Mytilus edulis: one gene and its partner. Each later gene encodes a partner of the first gene's protein in a complex. Links are inferred from orthologs where the notes say so. Each region holds a gene or a part of one and is shown in the gene's direction. Other genes may lie near its edges.

What was found. Proteins that work in one complex are often made in the same cells at the same time.
Region 2: HEAT repeat-containing protein 3-like (region 1) and ribosome production factor 2 homolog share a complex: the UniProt entries of both Homo sapiens proteins name them as parts of the hexameric 5S RNP precursor complex. The link is inferred for Mytilus edulis from reciprocal best matches to the Homo sapiens genes HEATR3 and RPF2.

What each region holds. Positions count from the first base shown.
Region 1 is NC_092348.1:29,740,641-29,744,404, reverse strand, and holds the start of HEAT repeat-containing protein 3-like, read left to right. Parts: upstream 1-855; 5' UTR 856-992; coding exon 993-1,133; intron 1,134-3,764. UniProt on the Homo sapiens protein: Plays a role in ribosome biogenesis and in nuclear import of the 60S ribosomal protein L5/large ribosomal subunit protein uL18 (RPL5). Required for proper erythrocyte maturation.
Region 2 is NC_092353.1:397,879-401,642, reverse strand, and holds the start of ribosome production factor 2 homolog, read left to right. Parts: upstream 1-1,382; 5' UTR 1,383-1,450; coding exon 1,451-1,470; intron 1,471-3,199; coding exon 3,200-3,332; intron 3,333-3,764. UniProt on the Homo sapiens protein: Involved in ribosomal large subunit assembly. May regulate the localization of the 5S RNP/5S ribonucleoprotein particle to the nucleolus.

The sequences.
Region 1 (3,764 bases):
TTGACCCATATATTTCATCTTTTAGTACTGTGATTTTTTTGTGTTATAAAGTAGTTGACTTTATAACACAAAAAAATCACAGTACTAAAAGATGAAATATTGACTTTATAACACAAAAAAATCACAGTACTAAAAGATGAAATATATGGGTCAAGTGCAATTTTGTTTGTTTCTATTAACTTTAAAAAAAATTGTCACTATAGTAAATAATACAGTAAACATTTATCGCCTTCTCTAACAAAGAGCTTCGGTTCTTTTGTTCTATTTCAACCTGGTTTCCGACTGTTTAATTCTCGGAGCTGTATACATTTTTTTCATTTACCTGTGTACATCCGATTCTATTTGGAGGCAATTTGTTCAAGGCAATGGTTGACTGGCTTTCGGAAATTGCGGCCGAGTATTATCTCATCCCTTATTTTATTAATTTTGTATTTACATTGTGTCATAGATCAAATGTATTCGTTCAATTTATATTCACTTGAAATATAAATGAAAAATGAACAATTTGATACCCGATTTATATAAATCCAAGGCCGTCCGTTGGCACCAGAAGCGACGAAGCAGTGCATCTATTTTGGACGGGCAAATATCCACTTTTTGATATGGGTCGAGCTCTGACGTCCCACGGCCCCAGCTTGTCTGGCAAAACAGCCGTTGGACGTCAGAGTCAACTTGAAGCATATAATCAAATACTGAAACAGATCGAGTGTCAAAAAGTGGCATACGGCATGTAGATAGCTTGGCTAATCAACCGTTGAAATCATTAGGTAGTATTGAGTTTTGCATGTTTGTTTTTACATGTTCTAACTTAATTCCGGAATTATTTCGTGTTTTTACATCCAATATTTTATTTTTATATCAACCGGAAGTGAACTGGAATTTTGTAACCGAAAACCAGTTCTCCAGGCCACATGCAAATCGCTAAAAAATTGTATTTCGTTAAGTTATCATTTAATTTTAGGGTTTTTATGTCAAAATGAAAGTAATATGCAATGGGAAAATCAAAACAAAAGAAGTTTAAAGCAAAGCAGCAACAGCCAACTGGTCTTCCAAGTGTCAAAGACTTTGAAACTGAGATTGAATTTGAAGAAACGTCAACAACAAACTTTTCTCTCCAACCGATTATTGAACAGGTTTAACATAATTTTTATATGTTCTCAAACTCACTCAATCTTCTTCTTCTTCTTCTTCTTCTTCTTCTTCAATCTTCTTCTCAATCTTCTTCTTCTTCTTCTTCTTCTTCTTCTTCAATCTTCTTCTTCTTCTTCTTCTTCTTCTTCTTCTTCTTCTTCTTCTTCTTCTTCTTCTTCTTCTTCTTCTTCTTCTTCTTCTTCTTCTTCTTCTTCTTCTTCTTCTTCTTCTTCTTCTTCTTCTTCTTCTTCTTCTTCTTCTTCTTCTTCTTCTTCTTCTTCTTCTTCTTCTTCTTCTTCTTCTTCTTCTTCTTCTTCTTCTTCTTCTTCTTCTTCTTCTTCTTCTTCTTCTTCTTCTTCTTCTTCTTCTTCTTCTTCTTCTTCTTCTTCTTCTTCTTCTTCTTCTTCTTCTTCTTCTTCTTCTTCTTCTTCTTCTTCTTCCGAATACGGGAGTAGACTCCTAGGTAGGAGTGTAAAACTTCCCGGAACTTGTGTGCTATGTACATATGGACTTAATTTAAAAATAATATGACAAAGAAAAATCGTTATCAATAACATATATACATTATGTACAGTGGCTTTAAAGTTTAATAAGTTGCTGTGGATCCTTCAAGTGTTAGAGTGGATATGCCACTTTTGAAGGATTCCAGGGTGTCAGACATACCTATTGCTTCAGGTAGTGAGTTCCAGTCCGAAATAGTGCGAGGATAAAATGAAAATTTATAGAAATCTTTATTTGTGGATATTTGCCTAAATTTATGTTTCCCCCTAGTGCGTCTATCAGAAATTGTTAAGTTGTCCTTAGGAACTTCTACTAACCCCCAATTTATTTTATACAGCATAGTTAATCTAGCCTTTTTCCTTCTTAATTCTAAATTTTCCCATTCCAATGATTTTATTAAATTTGAAACTGCTCCAGGTGATCTGTCTTTATAATCATTGAAGACAAACCTGGCTGCCTTACGCTGTACCTGCTCAACCTGAGTGATGTGTTGTTTTTTGTACGGATCCCAGACAGGGGAAGAGTATTCGACGACCGGACGGACAAGTGATGTGTACGTAAGGTTCTTAACCTTACGTGTGCAGTTTTTTAAGTTCCTACGAAGAAAACCTAAGGTTTTATTTGCCTTACAAGTAATATTGTTAATATGCGTTCCCCAATCAAGATCATGGCTTATAGTTACGCCTAAATATTTACTGTCTTTTACTGCTTCTAAAATATGATTATGTAATATATAATCAAAAGTGGAAGGTTTACTTTTTTAGAAATATGAATTACATAACACTTCTCAGGATTAAAATTCATTTGCCAATCCTCTTCCCATTTTACTAAACTAGACAAATCTTTTTGAAGTAATTGTGCATCAGAACTATTATTTACATTTCTATATAATAAACAGTCATCTGCAAAAAGTCTTGCATTGCAAGTTACATGTTCGGGTAGGTCATTTATAAAGAGTAAAAATAATGTTGGGCCTAAAACTGTTCCCTGAGGGACACCAGAATCAACTGCTAATTTTGAAGATTTTACACCGTTTAGTAGTACTTGCTGTTGCCTGTCAGCTAAAAAGTCATTTATCCAATTTAAATTTTGATTTCTAATACCATAAAATTCTAATTTCTGGGCTAATCTTTTATGGGGGACTTTATCGAAAGCTTTGGAAAAATCTAAAAGTATGACATCTATTTGGTTACCATATCCCAATGATTTAGCAAGATCTTGTATGCTGATGATAAGTTGGGTCTCACAAGACCTTTTGCTTCTAAACCCATGCTGACTATCATTTAATATGTTATTAGTTGTAAGGTGTTTCCTTATGTTGCTTGTTAAAATATGTTCTAAAATTTTGCAACATATTGCAGTTAATGAAACTGGTCTATAATTAATAGCGTTATGCTTGTCACCTTTTTTAAATATAGGTACAACATTAGCCTGCTTCCAATCATTTGGGATTTTACCAGTATCAATAGATTTTTGGAAAAAGAATGTCAAAAATGGAGACAATTCTTCTGCAAAATTATGTAAAAAATATGCTGGCAGATTATCAGGGCCAGTGGCTTTATGTGGATTTAAGTTTTTAAGTAACTTTAATAAGCCATTATTACTAATAAATATGTCTGGCATAGTGGGGTGGGGACTTGTACCTTTATTTGGCATAGAGGATGTATCTTCGGTAGTAAAAGCCTTTTTAAATTGTTCGTTTAGGATGTTAGCTTGTGTATTCGGCTATAAATTCATCCATGACAATCCACTGCACAGGCTAGGTGTAAATAGCACCAAATAACAATACTGTCTTACCCAAGCTTGGGAGTCCATACTGACCAAAGGCAAAGCACAGTTTGTCCAGGAACTTTCTATACTAGCGGGACTCCTCACTTATAACAATGTCTATCAGGGGCGTAGCTAGGTATTCATTCAACTGTAGGCACTAATCAGCAGAGGGTCTGGGGCCGCTTAAGGCCCCCAGCAGGTCCAGGGCAGAGCCCTGATAGGGGGTTCAGAGGGGAAAAGCCCCCCGACGAAATTTTTTTTAGCGTTTTTGCTGCAAAATTTTATGTACAAAAATATAAAATTTACTGGTTATTTAATCATGATAATTATAATATACATGATGAAAAGTTCGAAGAATTATA
Region 2 (3,764 bases), on another chromosome or scaffold:
GTACATGTATATATATATATATATATATATATTTATTGAAATTTATGTACATGTATATCTATTGAAATTTATGTACATGTTTATCTATTGAAATTTATGTACATGTATATCTATTGAAATTTATGTACATGTAGATCTATTAAAAGTTAAATACAGAATATTTGCCAAATTTATATTAATTAAATAAAATTCTTGGCTGCATTCGTTACACTTTATTTTATAATTACTTTTAATTACTGTTTTGAATTTTGATTGCTGATAAGGTATCATTTGAAATCTTTGATATCACTGATTGCTATATGAATTGTCTTTGATGGATTAATAATGAAAATAACATTTTTCTCAAATAAAATAGTCTAACTATACAAATCCTTGCTAATAGCAGAAACATATATATTAACGTTAGATATACTGTTCCCAGCTAATAGTAATTCAATTCAATAGTGAATGTACAGAAACTTAAAACCTAGTCCTAGTAGCAGCTAGCTATAAACAACATGTCACATCGTAAATATTCGGCCAAATTGTAGACTGACTTCAACACATTCAATTATATACATGTACACACAACGCAACACTATATACTAAAAAATAAAATCAGGGCGAACGGACTCGGGGCGAACAAGTATTAGGGCGAACAGAAACTAGGGTGAACCAGAATCTGGGCGGACGGACCCGGATTCGTAAGTACCCTGTTTAATCATTTTAATGACATTACGTATACCTAACCATTACTAAGCTTACACAGTCCCTGACCCAAAAATATAGCTATAGAACCTAAAGTAAAAATTCCCCAACCCTTAAGTAAAGGGAGCCCTAAAATAACAGAGGACCAACAATGTAACATCATATAATATTGACAGTTGTGAACATGAATGGGAATATAATTGACAAATTATTGATGTGCAAAACATCTTTACTGTACTTTTACAACCAATTTATTATCTTTCATAAAATTTATCAATGCAAATGTTCTATAGACACTTAAACTTACGATTATTTTATCACTGATAAAGTCTGTTTGGTATGTAAACAATTAAAATACGGTAATTTAACTAAATTGTTCAGTAAAGCTTCTTGGTTGCCTTGGACAACATGTGCTCTTTGTGCTCATAAATTTGTGACGTACTTGACAAAAATATGGGAGACAACTTTTATTTTAAAACAAAAACCGAAAATGACCGATAAAAGAATAAACAACAACGATCTTTATATATTTTTTATATATTTTTTTCAAATTTTTATCAGATATTAACATACTGTTTAAATCACATTTCTTTCATTATTTTTCTATCAAAATAATAAATGTATTTGTTTAAATATTATTTTTGAGCCCGATTTACTTAAGTCTAGTCTAATCCGGAATTTGTTTTGCACGTCTTACCGAAGTTGTGTCTAACATTAGATTCACACGTGGAAAATTTGTAAACAAGAAACAGACACAGAAAAAATGGTCATGCAAAGAGTAGTGTAGGTTATGAAATATTATTATCAGTGTAAAAAAAATGAACACATTTGGAAAAACCTTGTCATTTATCTCTACAACATGTAAAGATCTGTAAAAGAAAGAAGAAAAATTCCAATTTGTACAGCTCTTCTTCTTCTTTCAGTATACAATTATTCCATCAGATGATTACATATTCATGATATTGTTCCCTTAAGTGGACTATTTACATTTTTTTTTTACCCCATTACCAATTTAAACGAAATGTAATTAAACTGCTATGAAAATTTTAAATTTGTGATTAAAACTATGTACAATTTTAATTATCAAGCTAGTCACATTGCTCTGTTGCTACAATAACATTGAACTAATAATATGAATACAGTTCCCAACATCCACACCCTCTACCTAACCATATTTGACCTTGTTTTAGATCATTCTTGACAAAACACACACGAAATCTAAGGTCACAAGCTAATTTTATTTCACTTTATAACAAAGCTGGTTATACCAGCAATCATGATTTTAAACAGACTGAACTAATCAGGTCTAATGCGGTCACCTGAAGAATTAATTAGGTTTCAGGTAGCAATACACAGTTAGGAAAAAAACTTAAAATTGACACTCATAATTTTTAAACACCCTCTTTCCCCTCCTGTCTAACAAAGAAGGCTTTATATGTGTGTTATGCATGTATATAGTTATAGAAAGAGAATCTTCCATAGATTTGATTTCTAATGGTCATAAGGGTAAAATATAATCCCTTTTGGGTGTAACCATGGCAACAATCTGCATTTCTTAGATACAAAATATAGCAGAAAAGGGGGGGGGGGGGGTGAACATGTCACAAAAGTCTCCAAAATTTGGTCTAAAGGAAAATTTCAATCAATTACAGTGATACCTTTCCTGAATCCATAGGTTTATATCTATCAAGTGGTCCAAAAAAATCATATGCATTTCTGCTCGTTTTTCCATAAAATTGAATTGAAAAGATCGAGCGCAAAATCTTTGTTGATAAACACTACAATAATTTATGGACCTATGGACGGTACGGATAGGAAAATACGGACTGTCAATCATATAAATGGCCTATAAAACATGTTAAAAACAATCTAAATGTTCATATAAACCCACTAAGAAGGCTATATTATTCTTCAATTATCTAAAAATCAATTTTATTGTACAAAAACTTTCATATTTAAAAAATTCACAGGGGCCATAATGCGAAACTAAATTTCTAACTGTGTATTGCTACCTCAGGCAGTATAAAATTTAGAATGGAAACTTTTTTATGGGGAATGTATCAAAGAGACAACAACCCAACCAAAAAGCAGAAAAGAGCCCATGGCCAAAAATGGGTCTTGAATCCAACAACTGTAGTTGGGCTTCAGCTGGCCCCTAAACAAAAATTTGTACTAGTTCAGTTACACTTCAGTAGACACTGAACTCTGAAACATATAAACATGATAAATGAACTAATATGTGGCAGGGTTAAACACGTTTTGTGAGATCTCAACCCTCCCACTGTGAGATCTGAACCCTCCCACTTTACTTCTAGCAAAGGCAGAATAAACAAGTACACAGCAATATGCCGAGTAAAACTCAGCATTATAGAAATCTGAGTCCAATTTCAGAATAGGTAACCATGGTAACAGAAGAAACTAAGGGAAATGATAATAATACACCAGTTAATAAAGGACTACTAGCAGTTACTTAAATGCACTACATTTGTACATATATGTTTTTTTAATACAGAAAGCCTAAAACACAAAAAGGAAGAAGATTTTTAGAGAACAGAGATGGCAAGATTACAGAAAATACAAAATCATCCATGTTTATCAAAGGTGGAAATACCAGCATTACTGTGTCACAGATACTAAAGGAACTAGTAAGAAATTAAAGTTAAACTACCATATCCAAGATTAAGATATTAGTAAGAGATAATACATAAAATTGCCATAACCAACTTTAAGGATCATCCATATAAAAGATAAATTACCATATTCAAGATAAGAATTAGAGATGAACTTAAAATACCATACATAGTGATACCATATATATCCATGTTAAAGATATTTGTAAAAGACTAAATTTTAGTAACTATATCGATAATGAAATTGGGAATAGAAATCGGTAATGAGTCTAAGAGACTACAATCTGACCAAAGAGCAGAAAACAGTCGAAGGTATTGGTAAAAGATAAATCTTGAATTCTTAATGGTTGAAAATGGATACAACTGAATTAATTCCAAAGGGCCATGTGAATTAAACTTTTATAACTTTGTCACAGATAAAATCATAAGTAAGAGAATGCCATGGAT